Linked DNA regions of Canis lupus familiaris. The protein of the gene in region 1 interacts with the protein of each later gene in a biochemical or structural test. Links are inferred from orthologs where the notes say so. Each region holds a gene or a part of one and is shown on either strand. Other genes may lie near its edges. The genes, in order: CCKBR and CCK.

Region 1 (8,891 bases):
CATCATAGTATGAGCACCTGAATTCCAATGCCCCAAATCCCTGGCTTTGAATTGTAACTTTTTCACCTAGTAATTTTGTGGCTTTGGGCAAATTTCCTGAACTCTCTTAAAGCCACAGTTTTTTTCAGCTAAAATAGTGATCAGTCATATTGTACTTAAATGTACAGTGCTTGGTGAGGATTAAAACTAATGTGCTTTGAACAGAGTAGGTGATCATCAAACAATTCCTATCCAGTTACCAGAAAACTTATGCGTGTTAAGTGGCATCCTTCTCCTTCACCCTCCACATGGAAGCATCCTCTAAATTCTGCCTACATCCTAAGTAGCTCCTGGGTCCATATTATCCACTACTTTCATGACTTTAAACTGAAGCTTTGAAGCTTCATTGAAACTGCTGTTATATGTCACCTGAGTTATGTCATGGACTATCAACTGGTCCCACCCCTTATGGTGCCCTCCATCTCAGCTGCCATAGCAGTTACTCCAAGTCTTTCTAAATCCTAACAAATTTCCAGTGCTTCCACTTCTTCCTTGCATCGCTTGCAAATGTGTTAGTTTTCTATTGCGACTATAGCAAATTACCATGAATCTGGAAGCTTAAAACAACATCCATTCATTAGGTTGCAGACATGTGGGCCAGAAGTCTGGTAGAGTATGGCTGAGGATCCTCTGCTCAGGGCATCACCAGGCTGAAGTCAAAGTGTCAACCAGATGAAATTCTTTTCTGGAGGCTCAGGGATTGGTGGGGGGATACCCTTTTCTAAGCTCATTTTTGTCATTAGCAGAATCTTGTTCCCTGTGGTTGTAAGACTAAAGTGCCTATTTTCTGGCTGGCTGTCAGCCAGAGGCTGCTCTCAGCTAGAGGCCACTCTCAGGTACCTGCTCTGCACCCTGCTCCTTCATCAAGCCAGCCACAGTCCCTTGCATTCCTTGCCAGAGTGGCCCCCTCCATTTTCAAACCAGCAACAGTGTGTGAATTCTTCTTCAAATCTCTCTGACCTCCTCTTTTGCTGCATATCAGAGTAAATTCTTGTGATTTGGCTAGGATGACTTGGATAATCTCTTTACCTTGAGGTCAACTGATTAGTAACATTAATTACATCCGCAAAATCTCTTTTGTCATATAACATAATCATGGAAGTAGCATCTCATCATATTTACAGATTCTACCCACACTCTAGGGAAGAAGATTATACAAAAGTGAAAATCCTTTGGTGCCATTTCATAATTCCACCTACCACAGGAGGGGAAGCCAGGAAAAACATCCCTGAGAAATTCTGATACCTTGAGCTGAGATGAGAAAGATGAGCAGGAGTTAATTAGATAAGGAAGGAAAGTTTTTAGAGACCATGTGTAAAAGTCATATAACTGGCAGACATAAACTCAAAAAAAAATGGACTCAAGAAAGGCCAGTGTGTCTACAGGGGAGAGAACAAGATGCATAGGGACTTGAAATAAGGTGGTTAGAGAGGTCAAGAGGAGCCAGATCACACAGCCTTCAGAGACTGTGAAAAGATTTTCTCTATCCCCAAGGCAAAGGTCAGAAGAGTGGCACAATCAGATTTGTGTTCTGCACATATCACTCTGGCTATAAGGTGGAGGATGGATGTAAGGAGGCATCTGTAAATGTGGTGGACCACTGAAGAAGCTAGGAAAGCAGTGCAAGAAGCAATGGGATAGTGTCAGCGCAGATATAAGCAGATGGATTCAAGGAACACTCAGTGGCTAAAATCAACAGGACTTCATGATTGATTGACTACGGGAGGGAGGCAGTTATGTTCCCCAGGAAGCAGAGTCTAAGACAGAGATTACTGTGGAGGATGTTTACTAAGGAGTGCTCTTGGAGTCAACACCTGTGCAAGAGCAAGGATGAAAGAAGGACCGGGTGAAGGGAGAAGAGGAGCAGTGGCTCAGTCCCCACAATGGCCTAGGTCAGACCCTTGAGGCACTAAGCTGAGCAGTCACTGGATGCAGGATGCTTCAGGAAGGGAACATGACCTCGCCTGAACAGGCTTTTCCTCGGCTCAGCCAACTCCCACAGGGGCTGGAAGGTGCAAGCTGACTTCCCGAAGCACTCTCTGCAGCTGCAGAATAAAATCCCTCACATTTGGAGAGGAGTCTGGGCTTTTTGTCATAGCCTCTGCTCCGGTGGAGCATAAGGGAGTAAGGCAGCCAGGCTGATTCCTAAATTTCTGACTGGTGCATCTTCGCAGATGTACATCCAACCATATGTCATAATGGTTGGCTTACCTGTCACTTTCTCCCCAGGAGAGCTGGAGCTACTCGGGCACAGAATGTAAGAGACAGCTAGTAAACAGCCCTATAGTTGGCACATGCTTTGCTGAATAAGTGAATGCCCATCTCCTCCTATTTCCACTCCTCTCTCCCTCCTACATTTCCTTTACTCCCCGCCCCCACACCCTGCCGTCATCCAATGTGGGAAAAGTCCAGCAGGTTATCTGAGGTGCCACCTGTGCTGGAGCTGAACAAACAGCAAATCAGGCTCTTCTGGTCCAGGGCACTCTGATGGGGAAGGCAACCAGTGCCAGGAGGAGGGGAGTGGGGGGGAGACAGGTGACAACATCCCCACCCGCCTCAGGCTTAAATCCTCCTTATAAACTCCGTGCTAGCTGGAACAGGTCCTCTCCAAAATATAGACTGGATAGGGCTCTCTGAATTCCCCAGAAACTCAGACCTCATCCACAGTCTAATCTGCTCTTTGACCGGTGCCCCCACCTCCAACAGATACTGCTGGGAGCCCATGAGTGGAATTTCAAGGTCATATTGGAGTTTCCTTGGAATGAAGAATGGAGGGCCAGCACGGCTGAAATATAGTGGAGGCAGGTCCTGCCAGAGGAACTGAGCCCACCACCTCAGGCTTGTGTTTGTCCCCTTAAGCTTTGCTCCCGCTGCATCCCAGGGATCTGGCCCCTTTCCGGTCCCCTCTCCTGGGAACCTGACCCTCCCCCCCATGGCTGCTCCACCTGCACTGGGAGCAAACAGGGAGGGCCAGTGTGTCGGTGAGGGTGGGCGAGGGTGGGCGCTGCCTGGAGACCATGAGAGCCAGCCGCCCCCTTTCCTCTTGTGCCCAGGGCTGGGCCGGGATTGGAACCAAGCCCCACCATCAGCGCCCCCCCTCCCCCGTTCATTCTAAGCTGTTCTCACTGCTACCCAGGCGGCCCTGACCCCCAAGTCAGACTCTTCCTCCGCGCAGCCTTTTTGCGAGCCAAGATTGCCCGAGGACAAGTGCTGCCCGCCAACACCCCCGCACACACCCCGCCCCGCCGGCGTCCTTGCCCCGGGGCGGAGGGTTCCTTGGGAGCCTGGGTGTTGCGCCCCAAGATAGGAGGCGGAGGGTGTGGGGGCAGATGCAGGGGCAGATGCAGGGGCCGCCCCAGCCCCTTGCGAAGAGATTCAGGGAACTATGAGAGCGATAGTGTCACGGTCACTGGGGCCACTGCGGCACAGGACAGTAACCCGCGGCTGATGCCACCGTGTTAAGTGCCACCTCCACGTCCCCTGACCCACCAGGGGGAAATGCCGGATCCCACGGCAGCCGCGCCCTAACTCCTCTTACCCTCTCCCCCCCCCGCACCTCCCTCTCCGCCACCCCTCCATCCACCCGTAACCCCCACCGCTACCCTCGCCCATACACGCGCGCACACACACACGCACGCACACACACGCACACACACGCACACACACGCACACTCCCAAGAATTCCACCGAGGGACGGTGGCGAAGGGGAGTGGGCGGGAAGGAAATCTCTAGGAGAAAACCGGGGAGCCCGGGGAGGGGGCGAGCCTGAAGGCCATCGGGGGGCGGGGAGCGCGAGTCCCGAGCGTGGGAGGGGGGCGGGGAGTCACCTGGCGGGACCGCGGCGGCCGAGCCCGGCGGGGAGGCGAGCCTAGGCGGGGCGCGCAGAGGAGGAGCGGCGGGGCAGGGGCCAGGGCTGGGGGCGGGGACCAGGCGGGGCGGGAGCCTCCGCCCGAGCCGCGGCGCGAGCAGGTGGAGCCGCAGCGGGAGCCCGCCCGGCCGAGCGGAGGGAGGCGGTGGCTGGGCCGGGGCCATGGAGCTGCTAAAGCTGAACCGGAGCGCGCAGGGGTCCGGAGCCGGGCCGGGGGCTTCCCTGTGCCGCGCGGGGGGCGCCCTCCTCAACAGCAGCGGTGCGGGCAATCTCAGCTGCGAGCCGCCTCGCCTCCGCGGAGCCGGGACACGAGGTGGGTGCCCCCCTAAACCCCCTCCGCCAGCTCCTTCTCGCTGCACCCCACACCGGTAGAGGCCCCCACTGCCTCCCCGGACGCCTACACCATCCCCTCAGTACTCCCTCGGTCCCCAAACAGCCCCCCCGACACTTCTGCCCCCCCCCACCCCCCCGCCCGTGCCCTCCCCAGCTCATTAAAAACTCCATCACAGCTTCACACCACCTGATGGGAGCCCCCTCACACCCGGGGCTCCCGGCCGCACCCAACACAGAGCCCCCTTCTAGGCACAGACGGTCAGGGGGCAAGGACCTCCTCTTCCCTCCAGGTCTCTCTTCCTTTTAAATCCAGTTCACAGAGCCACAATGGGGAAGGAAAGAAAAGAAAAGAAGGCAAGACTGGGGAAAGAAGAGGGTTGGAGGAGGGAGGGAGCACTCTGGAAGGCTTAAATGGGAAGTCAGTTATAATCTCCTGTGTCCCCCACCCCAACCCCCAGCCTCACCAGAAGAGAGCCTCAAACCTGAGTTAGGCTGGACATGGGGGGCTGCTCCCTAGAGCTGCCTGTCTCCATTTCACTCCTCAAATCCTCCAGCCTCCCAAGGTGGAATTCTAATCAAGACTCTGTCCCCTCTCTCTTCTGTCTCCCAGGCCCTTCCAAGGCCCCTCTCCAACCTGCCTCTCTTTAGGTCTCATCTTCTTACAGCCTGGCTTGGCCCTTCATCTCCTATCCATTGTGCCACCATCTCTTCCCCACCCCCAGTGGTTCCACTTACTCAGTCCCCAAAATGACTTTCACTCCTCCCACGGGCCAACAGCCGCATTTTGTTGATAACCCAGCTCACAATATATGTTTTCCCTTCCTAAACCTTTTCTTTCCTTAAATGTCTCCTGAACACCTGCTGTTGTAGTTGAGCAAGTGCTGGGGACATAGGGATGAAACAGACCCAGTCTAGACCCTCTTCTGTCCACAGTCAAGTGCAAAGGGAGACAAACCAGTGAGAAAATAACAACGTGAGAAGTCCCAGGAGAGGGTCTGAATTGTGGGCATCCAAAGGAGATGGAAACCAAGAACTTCATAGACGAGGTGAACCTGGGAGCTCGGTCTTGAAGTCAGCCTCCTGAGAAGTAACTGAATAAAAATTAAAAAGATGAAGGAAAGCCAAACAAGTGAAGGGGCAGGAATGGCATAAAATAAAATAAAATAAAATAAAATAAAATAAAATAAAATAAATAAAAAACCAGCATTCTAAGCCGAGGAACAATATGATTAAGTGCCCAAAGTTTAAATCTATGGCACTTTCGTTCGCTGTGTCAGTTTCTGAGTGCCTGAAACATACAGTATAAGAGAGGGAAAATGAGCACTCGGGATGAAGACCAGAGTTTATGGTCTAGAGGGTTTATGAAGAGCCTCATAGACCAGGCTAAGGAGTGGGGATTTTTTTTTAAAGATTTTATTTATTTATTTGAGAGAATGAGCACGAGCCAGGGGGAGGAGCAAAGGGAGAGGGAGAAGCAGACTCCCCTCTGAGTAGGGAGCCAGTGCTACCAACCTGGGGCTCAATCCCAAGACCCTGGGATCATGACCTGAACTGAAAGCAGATACTTAACCCACTGAGTTGCCAAGGTACCCCAGGAGTGTGGATTTTTTATTATGAGGGTAATGGCAACTACTGAAAGGCTCCACAGTACAGCCAGGATTAGTTCTATAGTGTAGAGGATGGACTGGAGTACAAGATAGGAAAGGTGGGGGCTTGGGACGCCTGGGTGGCTCAGTGGTTAATCGCCTGCCTTCAACCCAGGGCGTGATCCTGGAGTCCTAGGATCGAATCCTGTATCGGACTCCCTGCATGGAGCCTGCCTCTCTCTGCCTGTGTCTCTGCCTCTCTTTCTCTGTCTCTCATGAATAAATTAATAAAAATCTTTTTAAAAAATGAAAGTGGGGGCTGGGGGGACACTTTAGAAGGCTACTATATTACTCTGGTGAAAGATGATGGGGGCTTAGACTAAGGTATTCACAGTGGGGATGGAGAGAAGTGGGTGGATTTGAGAAGCACTTCTGGAAGGAATCAACAGAATTTGGTGATTCATTGGAAATGGAGAGGGAGGAAGAGGTCAGGGGATGACATCTAGGTCTCTGGCTTGGACAAATAGATTAATGTTGGTGCTATATCATGAAGAAAACAAAGGAACAGAAACAAGTTTGAAGGAGAAGATTATAAATTCAGCTTGGAACCCACTGAGTTTAAATGCTGGTGAGATGCCCAGGTGTGGTTAACCAGTGAACTGTTGAATCTGGTCAGGATCTTAGGGGAGAGGTATCAGCTGAAAATACAGATTTAAAATGTCTTTGCCTACAGGAGTTAATGGAAGCCACGGGAATAGATAAAATCATACAAAGATTATATAGGATAAAAAGAAAAGAGGTCCTGGGGCAGAACCCCAAAGGAAATTGATATTTTTTTTCAAGATTTTATTTATTTATTCATGAGAGACACAGAGAGAGAGAGAGAGAGAGAGAGAGAGAGAGAGGCAGAGACACAGGCAGAGGGAGAAGCAGGCTCCATGCAGGGAGTCTGACGTGGGACTTGATCCCAGGTCTCCAGGATCAGACCCTGGGCCAAAGGTGGCACTAAACCGCTGAGCCACCCGGGCTGCCCAGGAGATTGATGAAAAGGCAAAGGAAGGAGAGTTCATGACGAAGCCATCAAAGAGATAAGAAGGCAAGGAAAAGAGTTCAAGCAGGGTGGGATACATGATGTCAAATGCTGCTGACGTAAGTCAATACGGACAGAACAGCATCCTTCAGATCCAGTAAGGAGGAAGTCCTAACAAGGAGGAGTAATGGGTGTTAAGGCCTGACTTATAGTAGGTTGAGGTTTGGGACAGTGGGGAAGGGGATTATGAGAAGTGAACCAGGTATGTAGACAAGACTTCTGGAAGAAATAGGATAGTGTCTAGAAATAGCACGGAGTTGAGGAATGTTGTGTGTAGTAAGGGAATTGTCTTTGTGTGTGTGTGTGTGTGTGTGTGTGTGTGTGTGTACACAGTAAAGGCACGAGTCTTTTTAAAATGTTGATGAAGAATGGGCCGAGAGAGAGAGGCTGAAGGTGTAGCAGAGAGCAGGGATAGTCATCAGAGCAGGGGACCCTGAGAAAGCAGAACATGAAGTGATTCAGAGCACAGGTGCAAGAATTGCCCTTCCTCATCTGGATGTTGTCGTCTACACAGAACTGTATGTTACCCAGGCAGTTACCCACGAAGACCCTTAGCCACTCACTCGGATATTACCCCCACAGATGCATGTTAGCCAGGCTCACTCCAGTGTTACCAGTAGAAATGTGGATGTTACCCACATTAGTCTTATATGTTATCCACACAGACCTGAGTGCTAATGTTCACTTGGATGCTATCCACAGAACAGCAGCTGTCACCCACAGTTACTTTAACATTGCCCACAGACATTTAGATGTCAGTCATCCATCAAACACACTTGCTTTCATTTTATTATCCACACATAGATATTGCCCGTGCTCACTTAAGCAACCTTTTCCAGATATTACTCATAAAATCATAGATGTTACCCTCATATGTTCAGATATTCCACAAAGACTCAAATATTACCTGTGTTCGCTCAGGTACTCAGTTATTTTACTCAGTCATATTAGTATCTCACTTAACACCTTAACATGTTAACATCTCACGTCCATACCCACTTAAACATAGCCCACACATACTTGGATATTACTTCTGCTTTCTCAGCTACTACCATCATCACTTAGATATTCCCCCAATTACATTCAGACCTCTGAATGTAATCCATGTTTCCTGAAAGCTGTTATCTACAAAATGAGATGTTATCCACAAACATATCTACAGATACTACCTCTGCTCACTCAGATGTTACAATTGCTCTTGCTCACTTCAGCAGCACCTATACTAAAATTGGAACAAATGTTACAGCACTTGCTCAGATATTATCTAAATCTACATGTAACCCACACTCAATCAGGCATTGCCTACAGACACATAGCTGTTACCCACCTCAGACCTTGTCCACAAAAATAAGCATTACTCTCACCCACCCAGATATTATCTCAAAAACTAGTTTTATCCAATTTTCACTCTGATATTGCCTATACATCCTTCTATACTATTCCTGCTCCCTCAGGTAGTGCCCATTAACATTCAGATATCCCCATTTTCCCAGCTATTACCCATAATCAGTTGGATGCTATCCACGCTCACCACAGCATTACCTTGACATCTGTGTTCATGAGTGACCGGATCCAGTATACCTGTGGAAGGTAGGATTTGAGGAATCAGCAGCTTCAGTGTTATTTCTTATAAAGTACTGATTTTTGTTTTATGGCACATTATCTGGGTTTTTGTGCTCATACTTCTCTGTCATCATCTGGACAGAACAAATGCAGATCCTCTAGACCCCAGAAGCAGAAATGAACTGCCAAAGTCTTTTGAATTCCCTGGCTCAGCAGGATGATGCCCACAGGTAATCAAGGCACTCATATTCAAAAAATGCCTCTCCCATTCTTCTACCCCTACATTAAGTTCCTAGTTGTTGGGGATCCCTGGGTGGTGCAGTGGTTTAGCTCCTGCCTTTGGCCCAGGGCGTGATCCTGGAGACCCGGGATCGAATCCCACATCGGACTCCCAGTGCATGGAGCCTGCTTC
Region 2 (8,063 bases), on another chromosome or scaffold:
TGGGCTACTTTGTAAGCCACAGAAAACTGACAGTCCTGCAAATACTTCTTGTCTATAGAAATGTAAGCGAATATTGTCCCCCCAAAATACAACTTATTTCTGCCCTGGATAGCAGATTATTCTGCACATGCCATTTTATTGGCCTAACTATACAACCCAGTTTTGTGTCCATCAGGATATTCATTTCAGTACTATTTTTTTAAAGATTTTATGTATTTATCCATGAGAGACACAGATAGAGGCAGAAACATTGGCAGACGGAGAAGTAGGCTCCCTGGGGGAGCTTGATTTGGGACTTGATTCCAGGACCCTGGGATTACGACCTGAGCCGAAGGTAGACACTCAACCAGTGAGCCAACCAGGTGCCCCATCATTTCAGCATTCTTGACTGCCTCTATGTGTCTGTCCTTTAGATTCTCCTTTGAAATGATAGGACATCTTACTGGTCCTTTATTAATGAGTAAAATAACATCTTTGATATATGTTCATTTATATTTGTATGATTCCCATCTTTATTTCTGAAAATGATACTTTACCATCTACTTCTCTGATGACTTATAAATTATTAATTCAGATCAGACCTCTCTCACCCAGTCCCCACTGCTAACTTAATATTAAATTCTAAGTCTTTCACCAGCCTTCACCCCAACACACACACACACACACACACACACACACACACACACACAACACACACAGGTCATCATCTATACCCAATTACCCTTACCTACCTGGAAAAAAAGGGTTTTTTTTTTGTTTGTTTGTTTGTTTGTTTTGTTTTTTTGTGAGATGTGTGTGTTCTGCACTAAAAACATATGCATCTGAGTATTTGGCCAGGGCTTGGACCCCTGAGATACAAAGCAGAGGCCATATTGTAGGGACTGAATGAGGAAATGACCTCACAAAGGAACAATATAATGTGTTGTCTATTCAGAGTCTAAGTTTTGCACTGAATGCTAACTTCAAGTTAAAGAATTGTAAAGTCCTCAGAGAAAGAGGACTGGTGTCATTTTTCTACCACCAAGGGAGATGGCACTATGTGCCTGCAGGGTAGCCCTGGACTGAGAACGAACCATCTGGGACCAGTTATAGATTCGCCAGCATTCTTTCCAATGTCTTTTCCTTTGGGGCTGCATGCCCTGCTGCATCAGGCCACATGGGGCCTTTGCTGTATAGGAACCTGAGGTTCCTGAAAGCCTTGGCTAAGAGGCATAGAAGGACTGTACCTTGGGTAGCTGGTGTCAGATTATCTCTGGGTGTCCCCTTGAAATAATTTCTTTTCTGGACCCCTACAGAGACCCAATGGAGGGATTGGCCCAAGAAAGGAGAGTTTCTGCTTCAGGTAGCTACTAGAATCACCCAACATGCTATGAAATATGTCTCTGAAATATGGTTAGACCCAGGGGATTGTAATCACAGGCTCCTCCCTAGACCACTGCCACCCCAAGTGTGGTCCAGGACCCACCACACTGGTTTCACCTGGGAGCTTGCTCAGGCCCAAGGCCAGACTTGTTGAGTCAGAATGTGTGAGTTATAAGATTCCCTGGTGATTCACATGTACTCCAGAGTCTGGAAGGGCTCGGGTGATGGAGGTCATGCTACTGGGAGCAATCAAGTCTGTGAATCTCATTAGCTGGGGAACTGTGGGCCAGTCACTTTTACCTCTTGGGACCTGTTTCCTCATCTGTAAAAGGACAATAACCTCGGTGCCACAGGGCCATGGAGAGATCCAAGGGATGTGAAAGCACTGACTAGCATTTGCCCCATAATTTGTTTAAAGGCCAAGAGAATCCCAAAGAAGTCCTGGTGAGGGATGGGGTTACTACATCCTACAGGGATGGGCAGGTGGGAGGCTCCAACCCAAGCTGCATCTCTGGTCTTTACCCAGACAAATGAGTGCTCAGTGCAAGCAGGGCATGTTTTCTTTTTGCAGTGAAGCCCAGCAGGGGCCCCACACCCAGGGTGGCCAGAGCTGGGCCATGGAACTGACCCAGAAGGTCCTTTTACTGGCCATTTTGCCTGGCAGTAGAGAAGTTAACCTCATGTCCAACCCTCATCTCTCGAGCCCTTTCTGGGACCATCTATGCCAGGGGTTTGTCCTTGGGTATTATCTCAGGCTTTCCTCCTTGAAGGTCCTGTGGATTATATGGAACCCTTTGCGCTCGATAGACACAGCGGACTAGGGAGCAGAATGAAATTATTTTAATAGCATAGCAACACTTTAGGACCACGCATCACAGACGAGGAAAATGTTTTGCTTTCCATTTGTACAATTCTGGTGAGGTGTGAGGTTGCACTGGACAATCTTACAGACATTTTTCACATTGAAAACTTAATAAATAGATAATGAAAATGTCAAACTTCAGAGACAATGACTTATGAGTGTGATTGTTTTCTTTTTCTGCCTCTTCTGAGCCAGGCGGTTGCTTCCTGGTGTGCCGACAAAGGCAGGGTCCCTTAGGAGGGGTATTCATACTCCTCAGCACTACGCCGGCCAAAATCCATCCAGCCCATGTAGTCCCGGTCGCTTATCCTGTGACTGGGGTCCAGGTTCTGCAGGTTCTTAATGACGGACATTCGGCCAGAAGGAGCTACAAGGGGCAGGGGCAAAGGAAGCAGGGCCATTACATCTAAGAGCATCACTATTTCAATCTGTAAAGGAGAACAATGGGAAAAGCCAGACAATACAAAAGCTCCTCCTTAAAGGTATCAAAGAGCTGTTCCAACAGTGGGATGGATTACTAGACCAAAATCTAAGAGAAGGACCCAAGTCTGTGTCACTAGAGAGAGTAGTATTTACTAGCCATGGGTATGGCTTCCAATCTATAAGGATTTAAGTGAATCCACAGATTTGTGGCCTTCCACAGCTTAGATATGCCTTAGTTTTCCTACTCCTTGGGGTGTTTCCACCGTGGTAGCTGGCCCTCAGTAGATGCCAAGCAAGGGTTTCCTTGGTACTTACCCATTTCTGGAATTTGCCCCTTGATATCCCGAGCATACCTGACTATTGTTAAGGTGACGCAGTTACAATATTTTGGTTTTTTTTTTAGTTACAATATTTTGATGTTAGAATGGTTTAAAAAATAGAGTCAAGTTCCACTGCTAGACAAATACTGTGTACAAATTAATTTGAAACTACCTTCTTTTTCAAAATGATAATGAGAGTAAGACACACTGTCAGATTAAAATCTTACGTCAGTGGCATTCAAAGAAGAGTGGGCAGAGAGGTAATAAGGAGGTTAATTCATCCCTTTTGACCAAAATGCAATAACTGAATGAAAAATGGACCTTCAGGAGTTAAGTCGTCAGGAACAGGATGATTCTCACGTGTAATTCACATTGAGCGAACAGGGACATGAAGAAGCAGTTTCTTTGGAGACATATGACACAGTCCTAGCCCACAGATCACAGACAGTGACCTTCTGGATGTGAAATCAGTATAATGCCTTCTTTTGTGCAAGCTAAGAGGCAAGAAATGTCCCTCAGGGACCTCAAAGGGGGAAAGCCCAGGGGACTTTAAGAGCAGAGTGATGGAGGACTGCTCCATGGTTCCTATCGTATGAGGGCCCCTGTGACCCCACTGCTCTGGATGCTGGCATCGAACCCTCCTGTATGAGACTGCCCTTGCCAGCTCCTGCCCACAGGCTGCAAGGAGTCAGACTATGACTTATTTATTGATAAATGACCTTGCAGGAGCAGTTTCTCTGTCTTATTGGATAACCAAGTGAAGCTAGCTAAATTAAAAACCAGAAACAATTATACAGAGTAATGTCCCCACCCATTCTTCTCCTGACATCCCCACCTCAATCCCTTCCCAGCCTTGGGATCAAAAGTCAATCCAGACATTCCTGCCTCTTTGCAGGTATCTCCAGCTATGCAAAAGGAAAACAGACCTGGCTGTTTCATTGTTCAACATTTTTCAGGTGAAATACTAGTCTTTGCATTCAAAAAAACCTTGCATATCCAGTTATTTGTACCCAGTTATAGAAATGTAGCCCATTCTTCTGCCTGGTGATGATGAATGCCACCATGAAGGGCTGGGCATAGCCCCAAGTTCCAGTTAATGAAGGCAAAGCGGCAGCTTCGAGGTGCATAAGCAGCCTAGGTTTGTTGGGCTTGGGTGGGGGAGGGGGGTGGTGCAGGAATCACATTCAGCCCTGGTAGCTGTGCTGGTTTCACACCTCAATCCCTCCATTCCACACACAGTTCTGTGCTCACAGTGTGTGCATTTACCTGGGTCCTCACTCGCTTCTCCAGTGTGACACAAAGTAGGAACTACACCTGGTTTACAGAATTGAATTGAAGGTCCTGCCTCCTTTAAACTTTAAAACCCCCCGAATGGGCAGTACAGCTGGGAAGATGACTGGCTTCCAGTCCCGCTGGGGAGGGCAGGGCTTGAACAGAGTGTCAGGTGTGCAAAGTCATGTAGGTTATATATTCTCCCAGAGCCTAATGGAACTTACTAACCAGGGCTTCAGCGAGGAGTAACAGACAGTACAGATGTTACAGATGTAGCATTAGAGCTTTGTTGGGCATGGGGCAGGTGTATGCTAGATGTCCCCTGCCCCCAATAGAATCGCTTCTCAATCACTGAAAGCTCTGCAGACAATTAATTTCTAACAATAAACTCTTGAGCACTCCTCGAAGAGTACATTATCGTGTTTAGAATCTGTAAGCATAAGTACTGTAGTTGAGTACATATCCAGTATGATCTCAAAATGTGTAAAATATTCAAGGATAGGTATAAATATTTCTTCCTGGTTCATATTTGTTAAATAGGCGAGTAGGATTATTTTCTGCCTCGTGCCGGTTGTGGGTGTTGGCAGCTGAAGTCCCGAGGGGCTGCCATTCCCGCATGGGCTTGTGTGGTACAGCATTCTAAAGGCAAAGGGAGAAAGTGGCTGAGCAGAGATGCTAGGGACAAACTTCCAGCTAAGATTTGTAGTATAAAGCCACTGCCAAGTGTCAGTTCTGGGGAAGTAGTTTGGCAACTGGCTTGTTTCTCAGACCTGTTTCTCGTGGCTCTTTCCTGATGATGGGGAGGGGGTTCCAGATGACAGCTCAGTGAAAAACCTATGATATTTCGGACTGGTCTGGCTGAAGTTCAACTGACATCCAAGGACAGATATTAAATTACTTTGAGACAGATAATCAATAGGAATTCAAGAAGTTTTCAGACTTTCTCTGTCATCTGACTAATATTTCCAACATCTCTTAATTTAATTTTAGTTAGAAAGCAAAACAGAAGATGGTAGCTGGGACAATTTCCCAAAGAGCGGACAAAATATAACAAATCATCTTAAATCATCTTTTTTTTTTTTTTCTCCTTCTGAATTCCCCTGGTCGAAAAACTTTTGATCTTACCTTCATATGAAACCATCAGAGACTCTGGAAAGCCAAGCCCATCATTTTTTCCTTGTTTAGTCAAGGAAAGCCTCCCTGGCACATGGGACGGTCAGAAAGCCTCATGGGAAAGGGGTCCACCCTCTACCCTTCCCAATAGCATTTTCTGTGGTTTATTGGCTGGCTGCATTGGTCTAGTTTAGCACACCACCCCACAGCCATCCATGTCACAGCGGATCAAGTTGGTTGAAAAAAAAAAAAAAAAACTGTTTCAGTCCCAATCATGATTCCTAAGGAGCCTACAGACAAATGAGCCTCCCTCGGAATCACACAGAATGCTAGAAGGGACCTAGGGAACTCTAGCTTTCTCTGTGCTTTACAGACGAGACAGGCCCAGGAAAGGGACAGGGCTGTCAGTATGTCACCCTGCTAGTGAGCCACCAAATCACCATAATCCTGCAGACAGACATCAATGCTGAGAAACCTGGCTTGCACAGTCCTGCTGCAATTGGGACCACCTCTCTAACAGCAAAATAAAAACAAACAGGTCTCTTGAGTAATCATTTTAAATCACTGCCAAGGAGAACTCAAAACTGCTACTGATTCTTTCCTCCTGTTACATTCTTTGGTGAAAACTGACACATCGTCACTGTTTTTTCCACTGTTGTCAGGACGCAAGAGCTTTCTCAGCATCAATGCCTTCCTGCTAGGGGGTTTCCAAGTGTCACACCTGGGTGGCTCCCGGTTCCTCTGCATTTCCAGTATTGGGTATTTGGTAGATCTGCAAAGTCTTTTAGAGTCAGTAATTTGCTTCATAATTACCTTTTAATATCTTCATAATACAGCGTTGAACTTAAGCAGCAACACGGGCCAACACTAGTTCAAGAAAGCTCTTTTAAAAAGGTTTTCCTTAATTAATTGAATCCACCGCATTCGCTCTCAGTTTTCTACAAAGGAGGCCAGAAAACCGTACTGTCCAGCGCAGTGCAATGGGGGGGGGGGGCGGGCGGGGGGGAGAGGGCGAAAGTGAAGAAACCTTTCGGCTTAAGGCACCGCCTGTTTCCTTCCCAGGGGCTACCCACCTCCATCAGCAGGACGCTGGGGAACAGGGTCAGGATGGGGAGCCGCAGGCGGGGTCAGAGGAATAAGGACCCCGTAGGCGAATGAGCATCCGTACCTTTCCGGGCCTGCTGGATGTACCTGGCCAGCAGGGCGCCCAGGTGCGCGCGGGGCTCGCCGTCCACCTTCTGCACTGCCCTCAGCTGCCTCCGGGGCGCCTCGTCCTCCCGCTGCGCCCCCGGGCCCGCCGGGTCGGCCGGGACGGGCTGCGCCAGGGCGCCCGCCGCCAGTACCGCCAGCAGCACGCACAGGCACACGCCGCCGTTCATGGCTGCGGGACAGCAATGGGACAGGGGACGTGAACGACAAGGCGGGGGCCTCGCGGGCTCTGGCGGAGGCACCGGGGGCTCAGTGCAGGCGCGCGGGGCTCCGGCCGCGCCCGCCGGTGCAAGGCAGGGGCTCGCCAGGCGCCGCGGGGGCACGCGGCGGCCACACCCCGTGGAGTCCCGGGGACCCAGCCTTCCGCCTGGGCTGGCAGAAGAAACGTCTTCTGTTTTCCTTGAGTTTCAGAAAGTGTTGTTAGAGCGCCCGTCTTGTAACTGGAAAAGCAAGAGTTAAAGCTGGGAGAAACCAGACCCCCGGGAGCCAAGAAGCTCTCAGTGGGGGAAAATAAAGGGTGAAGAAGGGAGGAGCGCAGCTTAAAATGCAGGAGCAAGAAATTAAAGCCGTGTTTCTGAAGTTTCTTTAAGGTGCACACGGGAACCGGCAACAAACTACGATGCAAAACCCAAAGGGCTTTTTAGAATCAGAAATAAGCGCTTGGTCTTCCGTCGTTGGCAAAGCGCCGTCGCCTTCGAGATCCACGAGCAGATACGACACCCGCACTTTTCTATCCCCAAAGCCTTGAAATTTCCTGCAATATTTAGAAAGTGAATTTAAATCTTAAAGCCCCTTGGGAGTCTATTTGAGGAGACGGCCGGGTGCACCGCACCTCCGTGTAACATCCAGCAAAGCCCTGGGCGCGGGCTAATTCCTAGCAAATAGCTATCCCGGCGCGGCACGGGCAGGGCACGGGGACGGAGACGGGGCAGGGCACGGGGACGGGCACGGGGACGGGGACGGGGCAGGGCACGGGCAGGGCACGGGGACGGGCACGGGGACGGGGACGGGGACGGGGACGGGCACAGGGACGGGGCAGGGGACGGGCACGGGGACGGGCACGGGGACGGGGACGAAGCCGGCTCGGAAGTCCCCCCGCCGCTCTGCCCGCCCAGCCCCCTCTGCTGTTCTGACTCCGAGACAGGTCTTCCGAGCTGTCTGTCGGGAAGAAGATGCAGAAAACAGGGAAATGCGGTGAAGGGGCACAAGACCGCGGACCGCATTCTCACACCACCTCGAGGGCCGGGGACCTACCTCGTGGGCTAGGAGCGTAGACGCGGCGGTCGGCGGTGGCGCAGCCCGGGAGCGGCGGGGGAGCCGAGCCAGGTGCAGGTGGGCCGGCGGCCGCCCCTTAAATAGGCCCTCCCGGCGCCGCCGGCCACGTGACGCAGCCCCGCGGCAGCAGGCGCTCAGGGGGCGGCCGCTGGGGCGCCGAGCGGCGGCGGGGCTCGGGGAGCGGAGGGGCGGTGGCCCGCGGAGACCCGCCCCGCCCCGGGGTCCAG

Evidence for each region.
Region 2: the proteins of CCKBR (region 1) and CCK form a complex in vitro, tested with the Homo sapiens proteins (3 studies listed by BioGRID). The link is inferred for Canis lupus familiaris from reciprocal best matches to the Homo sapiens genes CCKBR and CCK.

The regions. Positions count from the first base shown.
Region 1 is NC_049242.1:30,099,468-30,108,358, forward strand, and holds the start of CCKBR (gastrin/cholecystokinin type B receptor), read left to right. Parts: upstream 1-4,069; coding exon 4,070-4,220; intron 4,221-5,173; exon of another isoform or gene 5,174-5,286; intron 5,287-8,621; exon of another isoform or gene 8,622-8,696; coding exon of another isoform or gene 8,697-8,709; intron 8,710-8,891. UniProt on the Homo sapiens protein: Receptor for gastrin and cholecystokinin. The CCK-B receptors occur throughout the central nervous system where they modulate anxiety, analgesia, arousal, and neuroleptic activity.
Region 2 is NC_049244.1:11,648,313-11,656,375, forward strand, and holds CCK (cholecystokinins), read right to left. Parts: upstream 7,949-8,063; 5' UTR 7,816-7,948; intron 6,734-7,815; 5' UTR 6,732-6,733; coding exon 6,521-6,731; intron 2,592-6,520; coding exon 2,458-2,591; 3' UTR 2,181-2,457; downstream 1-2,180. UniProt on the Homo sapiens protein: This peptide hormone induces gall bladder contraction and the release of pancreatic enzymes in the gut. Its function in the brain is not clear.